2 linked regions of the Drosophila melanogaster genome follow. The protein of the gene in region 1 interacts with the protein of each later gene in a pairwise test. Each region holds a gene or a part of one and is shown in the gene's direction. Other genes may lie near its edges.

What was found. Proteins that work in one complex are often made in the same cells at the same time.
Region 2: the proteins of Sfp38D (region 1) and CG43121 interact in a two-hybrid assay, tested with the Drosophila melanogaster proteins (one large-scale study listed by BioGRID).

What each region holds. Positions count from the first base shown.
Region 1 is NT_033779.5:20,636,637-20,644,360, forward strand, and holds Sfp38D (seminal fluid protein 38D), read left to right. Parts: upstream 1-4,280; 5' UTR 4,281-4,303; coding exon 4,304-4,346; intron 4,347-4,412; coding exon 4,413-4,879; 3' UTR 4,880-5,580; downstream 5,581-7,724. Other genes in the region: CG31680 (uncharacterized protein), read left to right, coding at 3,514-3,556, 3,628-4,028; CG17470 (uncharacterized protein), read right to left, coding at 5,821-6,468; phr6-4 ((6-4)-photolyase), read right to left, coding at 7,009-7,724.
Region 2 is NT_037436.4:14,669,054-14,675,086, reverse strand, and holds CG43121 (uncharacterized protein), read left to right. Parts: upstream 1-2,649; 5' UTR 2,650-2,686; coding exon 2,687-3,040; 3' UTR 3,041-3,152; downstream 3,153-6,033. Other genes in the region: CG4914 (uncharacterized protein), read left to right, coding at 1-406; dlp (dally-like), read right to left, coding at 4,469-4,914, 5,014-5,183, 5,244-5,791.

The sequences.
Region 1 (7,724 bases):
AGGCCTGTTATCCCAGACGGTGCGGGAACGCAGAGCGGATCTTGCGTTACTTAGCGAGCCCTACCAGACGGCGGCTAGCTCAGACTGGGCTTTTGACCGCACCAGAAAAGCAGCGATCTGGAACAACAATTAACCCATGTGATATCGGACAACGGGTTTGGGTGGGATTAAGCGAGAAGAGTAAGGAAATATCGAAAGTGGCGCAGCAGTGTTTCCGAAGCGCTTTCGTCGGTGGATTCCCAAAACTGGGCAAGTGAACACATTGACTGATTTATTTATTATAATAAGAAGTATGGAATAATAATAAAGTCCACCCATTCCACCATTCAATTATTTTATCTAAGTTAATTATTTTCCAAGGGGATCATTTTTCCTTATACTGGTAGCTGGTTATAAATTATTTAAGTGGGAATAGAAAACTGCAAATTATGATTATTAGCGGTCCAAATTTTATTAAGTTTTGGCTAGCATGTATAATAGCTTTAAGAAATATCAGTCGTGTTAAAATATATATTTTCTTAAATGTTTTGAAAACCTAACTCGTTTGCCTCTGACTAGGATGTATTTCCTGTGAGCCGCGGTTAACGACCAAAAGGGGCCATTCAGGATGACAACTGTTTGTTATTTTCGGTATAGAATGGCCAAGGAAGGGCGGGCATTACATGATCCTTCACCACATCTACGGATCGAGCGAATCTTTTTGTCCGTTGTCAGTGTCGTGCATGGCCTTTTTCTTAATTGTCGTAGCACGCAATTACAATATATCAGCAGATTGAAATTGGGCTGAGATTTCAGGACAAGATGAGATTCCCCACATAACCGACAAGGAGCAACTGGACATTTGCGTGTGCGTCCTGGAATATCTCTTAGCACCACCCTAGCGTTACAAATCGTTTCACTACAAGGTGGTGGTCAAGAGGGCATCCACGAGGACTCCCACGCCCCTCGACCCTGTGAAGCTCCGCAGTGTATTGGAGCATCTGTTTTAGTTGATGGACGGGTTATGTCCCGCTGACCCAGCCAAAGATGGCCACGTCGAAGCAGACGCCACGGTCAGCAGGGAGGAGATCCTGGAGTTGGCGAAGCTACTGATGGACGGCAAGGCCCCGGGCTCGACGGAATTCGCAACAGGGCGCTTCGGCTAGCGCTCTCCCTCCAGCTAGCCCACTTTTGCAAAGGCGTTCACCAAGTGCATGACTAAAGACGTCTTCCCAACCTGTTGAAAGAACCAAAAACTGCTGCTCCGCACAAAACCAGGGAAGCCACCCGAGGAGCCTTCATGGTCCCCCCGATATGCCTCATCGATGGAAATGGCAAGCTCCTGGTGTGCAAGCTCCAAACTGGTGTGCGTTGGTGTGGAGAGGGCTATCTCAGACGCAGGAGACCTCTCACGGTTCCAGTTTGGTTTCAGGAAAGCGCGATCCACGGTGGATGCTGTCAAAAGAGTGGTTGTAGTAGCGGTCTACGCTTTCGGATGCACCAGATGATGTGGGACCGGATCCTAGATGCACTAACCGCCTTAGTGGTGCCAGCCTACGTAGTCCGTATAGTGCGCACCTACTTCTCGGAACGGGTCCTACTCTAAGAGTAGCGGCTGTCAAATTACTATAGGCTATGTATGCGTATTCGTAAGCTTCAGTACGAAGTCTATACATCTAGAGGCCACCTCTGACATGACCACGGAGAAATTTCTCGGATCCTGTCTTAGCTCCAAACCAATTTCCGTGATGTCAGAGAAGAAGGCGAGATCGCTTGAGAAAACGTTGAAGGTGCTTCACAAGAGAGAAAGATTACTTGGAAAACCGTTTTAAGATCAGCGACAAGAGAGAGTGAGAGAGAGAGAGAGAGAGTGAGAGATCACTTGGGAACCCGTTTAAGGTGCGCTAAAAGCGAAAGAGAGACGACGTGATCTATTAACCGAGCTGTGAAGTGCCTTGCTTAATAACCCGGCAGTCGCCCACTTCGTAAAAGCACCTGCTGGGTTAGTGTGCCCGTCGGCTGCGTGGCATTTGCCTGGATTAGCGTGCCCAGCCTACTCGGAACAGTGTGACCAGCCGCCAGTGCTTGCGGGCGGGCGCTCTCAAATATTTAAATTTCAATTGCTTCGCTTTACTACTTATTTACTCATTAATATAATTATTCTTTATTTGTACTTCATTATTTAACTTAGTTATTTTCTACATTATTCATATATTTTATTTCTATTTATATATATTAAGTCCTTAATGTGCGCGGAATGCGCACACATTTCTTTTAAGAATGTAAAAAGTCAACTGCATACAATTATCAGATTGCCGAATGGCAACACTTTTTTATTTGTTATTTTAGCTCTATAAATAAATAATATTTTAAATAACCGTATCAGTAGACATTGCTGGTTAGCGGAATGAAGAAAATATCCCTCTTAGTATTAGCGAATCTGAGCTGTGGTTAGTTCATTGCAGCCCCAGATTCAGATATCAGCCTCTAATATGACAGGAAATTACAATACATTTCACAGCCCTAAGTAGTAGGGAATATGAAGAACACGACAGGCTGGCGACGTGGAGACTTCGAAATATTGTAAACAAGTATAAATACTTAGCCACCGGAAACGCGGAGTTCTCCCGGTGGATTGAAAAAGTAAACAACGTTGCTGCCTTAAAGCTTGGACACAGAAGGTTACTTCAAAATATACGATAAGCAACGCCAATTGCTTGAAGATAACATTACTCAGCGCTTGAACACGCTCAGATCCCTAATCCCTAGCCAGCATCAGGAAAATGAACTTAAGAATGCCTACAAGTTCTCAAATAAGAGAAAAGAAGAGGTGTATATGAGAAATATGAGGGAATGCTCTGCACCACCGGAGATACAAGGATATGATTATGATTACTATCTAGGCTATTGATCATAAAATTGTCCAATGAAATCAAATAAAAGGTCGCTTTTGGTTAACCTTTATCGAACACCTACTCTGCCAATATACCAAAAAATGGTTGAAAATTCTTGTTCGCACTCCGACCAACTGGCAAATGGGTATCTAGTCCTCTAGATAGTCGAGGAACTGGACTAGAGCTTGTTATATTGTTTAATTTAAAACCGCACTGGTTTTTGGCGTCGGATGTTTAAGGATTAAGTTTTCCCGGCAGCCGACGGACGCCCTTAAAAGTAGCAGCAACAGCACATGGACCACATGTCACCAACCCCATTATTTCCGACGAAAACTGGTGGCAGTCAGTTTTTCCGAGTACACAAGTCTATTTCCATGGGTATTACTGAAAATGAGGCTTATATCTATAAGTTATTAAGCGAGCATTAATATGACATGTTTGTATCGAATTGGTTTAAAAATGCATATGGCTTCAAGTCTTGTTTACCTAGCATTTGTTGCACATTTTTTTTTTAAGAGTGTAAAAAGTCAATCGCAAAGCTTGACGAATGGGTTTTCTACACTCCTTTATATATTATTTTAGGTTTATAAATTAACAATATTTAAAATATCCGTATCAGATGCATTTGTTGGTTAGCGGAATGAAGATAATAGCACTCTTAGTATTGGCGAATCTGGGCTTTGGTGAGTTCATTGCAGATCCAGATTGAGATATCAGCCTCTAATATGACAGGAAATTACAATATATTCCACAGTTCTAAGTGAATCCTTAGCAGAAATGGACAGGCTGGCGACGTGGAGGCTTCATAATATTTCAAACAAGTACAAATACCTATCCACCGGAAACCCCGAGTTCTACCAGTGGATAGAAAGGGTAAACACCGTTGCCGATGAATTCAATCACTACAATAAGCATCGGCAAAGACTTGAGGATCAAATTACTGAGCGCTTGATAACGATCAGATCCATAATTGCCATAAGAAACGCAAGCAAGAGATGTCTTCGATTCTACCTTAATCAGGAAGCTGAACTTGAAAGTGCCTACAAGTCCTCCAATGAAAGAAAACAACAGGTTCTCTACCAAAATAGTGTAAGATGCCCTCATGGATTGGATGACGGCAGGCTTGGTGACCCTTACTTTGTTGACTACTTATGATAAATATGTTTAACCAAATCAAATAAAATATCGCTTTTGATTGAAATACTTTGGAATAATTCAAGCTTAATTAATTATGGGCAAGCCTGTTGAATATTTGTTTGAATTTGTGTGATAAGGTTTTTTTAACCGCAGTTGCTTTGCATGGCTTAAGTATTTAAGCTTAATCTATTTAATATGCTTAATATGCATGTGCATATCCATCGATTTGCTTTGCCCTTTGTAGACTTTCCCATTTTAGCTATTCACTTCAGTTAGCATTTCGAACCGCCAATATGAAGTTTATGGCAATATGCCTATTGGCAAATATTGGCTACAGTAAGTACATAGTACATTTGTACAGATATCCCAAGACAGACACTCATTTAAGCAATATTTATGCAGTACTTGGCACTACAATTGGCCAGCTTAATGACGAAGCCACAATTCGACTAAAGGGACTTGTGGAGAAATATAAACTGCAAGCTCTTAGCAATCCCGAATTCTCTCAGTGGATTGGCAAACTTGAGAAAACTAGCAAGTCGAGAAGATTGGAAGACAAAATGAAGGTCAAAGCTGAATTTAAAAACTACGACGAACGTCGCTTGCAATTGGAAAATAAAATTAGGGAACGCATTACGGCGATCGATGACCTCATATCCGATATTATGGCCAAAGTCCCGATAAAGGATAAAGGGTGTCTCAAGTATTACCAACGCCAGAAAAGATCCCTTAAATTGGCCCACAATTTTTCGAATTTAACTAAGCAAACAAACCTCATACGCAACTCGAAACAATGCGAAACAACTAAAGTGCAGTCTAGTGAACTAAGTGAAAGCTCTGAAAATCCGGATGAGTATAGTTATTACTAAGCTAGTATTACTAGTATCTAGATAGTGCATTATATCAATATATACACATATATGTATCTTTCGAGAGCTTCCAGCAACGAGTTTCCGGCCCTGTTAATATTGATTATAATCAATCTCGTTGACCATACTTTCATTTCGCAGAGCCCGTGGCCATTTTTATTGCATCCACAATTCGGCTGACCACATTTTAGCTTCATTTACAGTTATTTGGCCGGCCCCCACCTGCACAGATACTGTCACACCACCGGCCGCCGACTAAATGCCTACGCCAACAGCTACGCCCACGGCCACACCCACGCCCACTGCCACGCCCCGCAGGCAAAACCGCAAATTCAATTTTGGTTTAGAGCCTACAAACATTTTGCAGCGTGTTTATGTCCGGCTGCATTGTTGCGAGTAGTTTTCGCTCCTGGCCCGCTTTTAATGCAATTTATGGGAAGTGTTTGCCCCGGATTCGGTTGCCACTGACCACAAAGCGATCTTTTGTGATATGGAGAGTGGATGTGGATGTAGGCGCGGGGCATGGGGTATGGGGCATGCGGCATGTGGCATGGGTGGGTTAAAATAGTGGTCGCGGTCTCTAGTTGGGTTTTCATTAAAGCATGACCGGTTGCCAACTGACAGTTCTTAGTGGCCATGTCCGCATCATAATCGTCAATCGAACTTTGGACAAATTTGCAATTTTGCAGATTGCGGATGCGAGTCCATATGGTCGCATTTCTATCTAGATCAGGCAATAAGGCTAAATTTTAGTTTACAGATTAATGAAGCAAAGAAAAAAGTAAAATTTCTATTAACTGAACATATAAATATGTTTTTTTTTATTACATCAATGCTAGTGCTTCCTTTTACCGAAAACCTATTGAATACGCTAAAAAATTGGAATAGTCGCAAGCGGAAGTCGTCCAAAAAAATCCTTAAGAATTTTGGAACCAGTTTTTCTACTTGTCGTATCGAACCAGGCGCGTGTCGTCGCCGACCTCCTCCAGATCCTTTGGATCGCGGCGGAAGCGATAAGTGCCGACATCCTGGTTGGCCGATTCCGGCAACGTCACCTTGATGCCCTTGTACTCGGTTCGACCTTCCCTGACCTCCGGCACCCGCAGCTCCATCTCGGCCTTGTACTCGTCATCGTTACCAATGTCCACGTCCTGGACGTTCTTTTGCACGGTGGGATCCTCCTCGTCCTGGTTCCAGCCATCAATCTCGATGGGGACAATGGGGTTGCCGTCGACGCCTACGACGGAACTAGGTGCGCCAGTAGGCAGGATCTCCACGGTATCTCCAGAAATCGGATTCTCTGCTGGTGGCGACTCAACTGCATCCGCGTCCACTATGTTGGTCACCTCTTTGAATGGAGTATGGTCCATCAATGTCAGCGAATTGACGAAATTGCGATTAAACTCTACGTCAGTCTTGGCCATCTCATTTATATTGATATCTATCACGGTCACGCCATCGATGTTCCGCGGACGGTCAATGGTGAGGCAAGTAAGACCAGTAGACATTTTGGAGTGCAAGGTCGAGCGGGCCACACGGACACGGTGCAGCGCCAGCTGATTCCTCAGCATCGAAAGATTGCGAAACATGGTTTTTGTCGGTGTTTCGAGTGCGGAAACTAACTACCCAACAGAACAAAAACCGAAGTTAAATTTAAAAAACGTTCTTATTTACAAACAAAAATTGGAAGGTCTTATGTTGCCGAAATTTTAGATATGACTAAAATTCCCAGCTAAACCCGACAACTGACAAATCTCGATTGTGAAGGAAGTTAAAGGCCAGGCTACACTGGTTACTGATAATTACTGAAATTGAAATATAAATGAAATCACTATCGCCGTATCAATATCTTTATTGGTGCATTTTATGTGAAGTACACAAGCGTTTAAACATATTCTTTTGTCACCCTCTTATACCTATTGACAACTCGAACATTCCAATTCCAATTCCAATTCCAACAAATACTATATACTCGTTTTATACCTAAATTTCGGTAGGGTAACAATCAAGAAGTTTATAGATTTATACCTAAAATAGTACATAAAACAATTCTTCCATCCTTAATTCATATTAGCTCACTCCGTAGATCTAACTACCTTTTACATAAGGTAGCGAACAAATTTTAGGTTTTAACGTTTTCGCTTAGGGGCACTTCCGGTTGCCCTTCGCACCTTCCGCTTGCCAGACGTGGAGGTTTCTGATTTCTCCTCGAAAGACGACTCCTCCTCCTTGCCAGTGCGCACCTCCCGATTTACTTTGTAGGCGGCGCCCATTCTCTTAATGTTCTCCTTGTGCACCACTTCGTGTTTAACAATCCGGTGGGGATAATCCGTGCCGAGGACGCAGCCGTATGCCCGCTGATCCACCAGCGACGCCTTCCAGGGCTCATAAATACAGCCAGCAGGATATTTTGAGAGTTCCGGCACATACTTCCTGATATAGTGCCCTTGGGGATCCGTTTTCTTGCCAAACGCCACCGGACTGTAGACGCGAAAATACTGGTGAAAGAAAGCGGACGCAGATAGCCACATCCAGTTGCCAGCGTTTAGTGCCCAGTCCTGATCCAGCAGCAGCTGCTCGAACACCCGCTGTCCCTCCTCCCAACTGATCCAGAGGTCTCCGCGCGTTAAGAAACATGCCACTGCATGCCGGGCCAGATGATGGATCCAACCCTCCTGGCGCAGCTGACGCATGATGGCGTCGATGAAAGGATATCCTGTGCGTCCGTGTGTCCAGGCCTCCAAGTGATCTGGATGCTCCTGCCACGGAATTTGCATGCAGTATACATTGCCCAACATTCGATCGAAATTGGGTTCCGCAGCCGCCACTGTGTAGTAAAATTCCC
Region 2 (6,033 bases), on another chromosome or scaffold:
ACAGCGCCAGGATCTATTTGTGGGCACAAAGGCTATTGCAACGGGCTGGGGAACCCTCAAGGAAGATGGAAAACCCTCCTGTTTACTGCAGGAGGTTGAAGTTCCCGTTCTCGACAACGACGAATGTGTCGCCCAAACGAACTACACCCAGAAAATGATCACTAAGAACATGATGTGCTCGGGCTATCCAGGCGTTGGTGGGCGGGACAGTTGTCAGGGTGATTCTGGTGGTCCACTGGTACGTCTTCGCCCAGATGACAAGCGATTCGAACAGATTGGAATAGTATCTTGGGGTAACGGTTGTGCTAGACCCAATTATCCAGGAGTGTATACCCGAGTCACGAAATATCTGGACTGGATTGTGGAGAACTCGCGAGACGGTTGTTTCTGCGATGAGGATTACTAATATCATAAAGAGAGTGCTCAAAGCGGTGGACAATTCTTCGCCTTAGTCTGTAGTTAATCCCTTAGTAGTTTAGGTCATATTTTGTACTTTTATACTAAAACAACTGAATAAAGATAAACAATGCAGTAGGTTAGAAATCCCTTAATCAGTGCGTCTTATATTTGGCTAGGAAATTTCTTTACTAATTGCAAAAATGCATTTTATGTACAAATATAAACATCGAAATTTCGCAATAAAAAAATTCGCTCATGCGAATTGTACCACATAGCAGAGCAAGGTTTCGATCCTCGGACCTCTGGGTTATGGGCCCAGCACGCTTCCACTGCGCCACTCTGCTTGCTTGAAGTACTGGACCTCAAGGCTAGTTAATTACAAACGAGAAGTGGAACACCTCGTTACCGACGAATATACATTTGTGACCCTTTACAGTGCACTGCTTTCTTAACAGCTCTGTTGTTGCTCATCCACAAAGCAGTGTTCATGTATTACTATAAGAATACGCTTTAATCGTACAGTGAATGTGTATACAGTTTCAACAACTGAACAGTTAATGCGTACATACAGTAGTTAGAACGCTGTACTGTGAAGCGCATTTCTATTTTACTTTTATTGGTAACAAAGTGTCCTTTGTAATTACATCGACTCAATGGCCTGTTGGCCTCAAGCAAGCAGAGTGGCGCAGTGGAAGCGTGCTGGGCCCATAACCCAGAGGTCCGAGGATCGAAACCTTGCTCTGCTATGTGGTACAAATTCGCATGAGCGAATTTTTTGCTTATATTTTTTTTTATTGAAAAACCCCGTAATAGCCTTTCAATTATGCGTTATGAGAGCATGATAAATTTTAATCAAAAACCTAAATATACGATAAAGTTGACCACGTTATATATAAAATCCAACCATTTATACCTTTAAATGAGTCCTTCCTAAATATTGTTAGATTGAAAGAAACCGCAAGTACATATATGTTAATACGTCTAAAAATCTTTCCGACGAAACAACTGGCTTTATATACTCAGGCTATGATAAATTTGAGAAGGTGCTAACTTTGTTTCCATTCTTTATTTTAGCAATTACTTGTGTTTATTTTTAGTCATCCCTAGAAGATTACACAGCTGACTACTGTTGCTCCGCAGTCAGTTAATTGTGCGCCTAACTGTGTAAGACACAACAACCTTCAGCCAGCAGCAACAGTTGCAGTTAGAAGTCTAAACATTCAGCGGTTTGATGCGGCCCAAAAAGCAAATATCGTTAGAAACATTAGCTAGCTAGTCTATGGCAAACTGGTTTCCATCGAACAGCTGAAAGCGCAAGGGGGCAAATAAAAGATGAAAAGAAAAGAGCTTAGAAGAAGACGTTGACTTTAAAAGTCAAACGTTGCTTTGGCCGGAGAACCAAAAAGTTTTCTCATTTCAAATGTTTGTTTATGAAATTTTAGTGTTTTGCCTAATGAAACTTACGCGGAACTGCGGATGAACGATACCGAACCGAAAGATTGCTGATAGCCTTATCTATTTGTCGTCTTTCACTTGTTTATAATTGGTTACTCATCACAATCACAGTGATCACAGGAAAATTGACGTCAATTTCCACTTTCGCTTCGCCCACTTTTCATTTCATTTCATTTCACGACCGCACTCACGTGTGCCGCGCCTTGCGTAATTATTTAAATTCAAAATTTTTGCAATGCATCAAGATTCGCATTCGCGCATCTCACAGATATATTTTCGTGTGCACAGAGGGGCGCTCCAGGTTTACGTTTCGAAATTTTCTTTGCCGCAGTTCATTTTTCACGTTGCGTTGGCAGCAGTTGTTGTTTACCGTACGCCGATCGCGCGCTCACTGAAAAAGCCACCACAAGCTCCCCGCGCACCCAAAGATACACAGAGAGCCATCAGGCCAGATATTCCGACGGATGGAGCGTCGCCTGAGATCTCGAGACCTTTGCGCTTGGCCACGATCTCGGAGTTTCCACGCTCTCCCACTTGCCGGTCATATGAATGAATGAGTATTTTTGGTACATGGAAAAAAATTGATACCAAAATTGGTCACTTATTCTAATATATGCATACAGCTAGATAGAACTGTATTCTGAATATATGCGCCTCAAAGTCATAATCAATCAATACTCATAAAATAAGTATTTATTTATCAATTTTGGTAATCTAGGAGGCCAGTCATTAATATTAACTATTTTGACAATATAGAAGTAAGGTATACATCGATCATTGACAGTCTCTAAAATTATTCCCATCATAGAAGAAATAAAAAAAAATTTTAGATATGCTTTCCCCGGAGTCTCCGGAGAAACCGAAAAAAAGTCTACATGACCTCGGGCTATTAACAAAGACTGAAGAGAAAACCAAAGGGAGCCTTGTAGCCCTCCAGTCTATCGACAAGCGCCTGAAGACCCTCTTGGACCGCCTTACATCTGTGGAGAACTCAATGGCTAGCTTGAATTTACCTGCTTTGGACGAAGGTAATGGAGACACCTATGAGGACTTGGAAACATTGGAGGATGAGTTGGACAACCAGGAGAAAGAACTTTCAGAATTTGCAAATGAAGAAGCTATTGGGTCAAAGGTAGATGATGATGAAATTGAAGAGGTAGACAAGGAAGTCACAGGAAATCAATAATGCGATTTTCCATTGTATAATTGTTATTAATGCTACGGTTTTCCATACGTTATACACGAGGAAAACGGGCAGAAAATTGTTAATTGTTAATTGTTAGAATAAAAACCGTGGCAAAAAGAATTTTTTTTCTTGCTTACTGTGTATTGTTTTCTTGTTTACTTGTCTTCTTCAGCTTAGTTGTTTTTTAAAATTTAAGAAAGCATAACTTTCCGTTAAGAAACTCTGCGCTTTAGGCAATTTGTTTACAAACGACTTTTACATTGGCACATGTGCGACCTCTAGCGTTCATAAAACCTACAGCTGAAGATGTATCATACATAAATATTTTTCAATTCTGGCAACGCCATATAACAGTAACGGTTTTTAAGGGCATGAGTTAATGAACTTTTGAAACACCTTCTAAATCAATCCCCACAATTAAAAGCGGAAGTTCTTTTCTTTTGTTACGTTTTTGTATTTTTTCTTTTTCCATTTGTTTTAATACAATATATAAAAACCGATAAAAAATCAAAAATAAATATAAATATGTAGGTGTACACAGTTTAGTTTGAAATGCGTTTGATGGCTGGCAAAAGTCAGGGCTGTCTACGAAAGATACAAAATTACAAAAGCCGTGGCTCGGACGCTTTTCTATGGCCATGTTAACGTAAATAAGACTTCAGTTTTTAGGTTTATCAGTAGACTACAGTTACAAATTAGTTATTGCTCTTCATTTCGGTGATAATTGAAATTGTGTGCTGTGGCAATTTGCTGGTTACATTACATATGCGCGTATGCATAAATATAATACAAATTAAATATGTAGGTGTAGGTGTGTTTTTCGCTTAGGTCTCTAGGGGCTAAAGTGTTTATAGTTAATTTTTGCTAAACGATCACATTGAACAGGCACTCCGCTCGCACTCACACTCGGTAAAAGCATTCACTCCGCGACATACACGCACTCACTTCTACATTCATTCACTCTCTGGCTTACAAAATACAATTTCGCACTTAGACTTAGAGTGTGGGGGAACAGGGGCGTTTGGGGGCTTACTAAACTAAAATGGGCTCGTTACGTATTCTCTCTCCTCCACTAATTTCTTTTTCTCCTATCGGGTCTCATTAAAGAACCGCTTTAGATCAGGCATTTTCTGATTTTTACAATATCTGGTAGTTTTCAAAAATTAAATTTTAGATTTAGAGTGAGATTTCATCCAATTCAAATTTGAAAAAATTCCTGACGAGAGTAAAATTCGAAAAATTACCTATTTTCTTGATTGCGTTTTGATTGCTACTATCAAAAGTTTTTATAAAATTTTGGACTCGCATTTCGTATATAAGGGGTAGCATGTAGTTCTGCTAATAACATTTTGCTTCACGGATGAATGACTGAGAGGTGTAGGGGATGCAGCCGTGCTCCATCTTGGCTGCATTTCGCACGTTGAGTAATCACAGCAAATCGGCGCAGACGCCACCGAACCACGCCATATAAAGGGGCAGCAGATAAACAACCAGAGCGCGACGCAGCGTCATCTTTTCTGGGGCATCGGATGATCGATTGTCATTGGCCCCGTCATGGCCTGCATCCGTGTCCTCATCCTCATCCAGCTGCCTATGATCCTCATCCAGATCGTTGTGATCTTGGTCGAAGTGAGTGGTGTGGATGAGCGGATTCTTGTCGTCCACTCCGCTCGTCGGTCGAGATGTGTGCGTGGGCATGTGACCCCGTCCACCGGCGTCCTCGTCATCGTCGTTGTCTGCATCCACCGAAGGACGCTCCACGTCCGGCTTATGGCTGGGTTCGAAGGGTCCCAGGCCAGAGCCCTCGTCATCGTCCTCGTCGTCTTCGGACCCGGATCCAGAACCAGCTCCACTACCCGCATATGGCAGTTCTTCTGTAAAACAAAAATGAAACAAAGGGTTAGTAAGTATACATAAAAAGATTGATTCGATGGTTTATAAACAGACTCATTACAATCACCAGCATATATTACCTTGTTCGCTCCACTCAACATCCTGGCCGTTGTAGGCATTTCGAAGGTGGACAATGGCATTCTTCAGATGACTTAGTTGAGAGGCCATTTGAGCTGTTTGCTTAGTACTGGCAGGATTGCCTGTAAACTCCGGATTCGAGCCGTGTTCTGTGGTGATTGAGTGCATGTATCTGAAAAATATAATATGTTTAAGATAGCTGTGCTAATTTTATTTAGTTTTTTCCGCCTACCTATCAATTGTGTGACCATTCCAGCACATGCCGTCCACATCGGAACTGGAGGCTATATCCTCGTTGCTACAAACCGAGTGCGGCAGATTGGACCAGAACTTTTTGTAGTCCTTCACTCGCTGGCGAATGTCCCTCACGATCCTGTCCAGAATCGGTTCACGTCCACCTCCGCTCTCATTGTCATCGTCATCGTTGTCGTCGCGATTGTTTTGCTGTTTGCGTCGCTGTTGCTGCTGCTTTCGACGTTGCTGTTGCCGCCTGTTGTTACCGCCACCGCCTCCTCCTCCATTTCCACTCTTTCCAACTCCTTGCTCTTGAGACTGTTGCGCCGATGTCTCCTGTGAGCCGGGCTCAGCAGCTCTGCGTTCTCTCAGCACAATCGCCTCGTCCAACGTTTCATCAATGTCCAGAGTATCGGCCTCCACAGGACTCCTTGCGTTGAGGATTTGAACTCCTTGCAGTTTGGGGCTGATGGACCGTTTCATTTTCTTCAACTTTGGCCTACCGCATCCTTGGAATACGCGGTTGGTGATGTCCTGGCCAGAATCCTGCAATGAATTAATTTGAGAGTTACACACTGTTGATCAGTACAAAGGGAAACAATGATCTAATAATCATGCAATAACTGATTAGAAATACAACTAGAAAGTGTAAGATTAAACACAAATAAAGAAGAGTCAGAACGACCTGATTGACCCTCCTGAATGTGTTAGCACATAAACAATTGATATTTAATATTTTTAATTTTATAAAAATTTGAAAGTTTTGAGTTAAAATGACTTTTGAAACC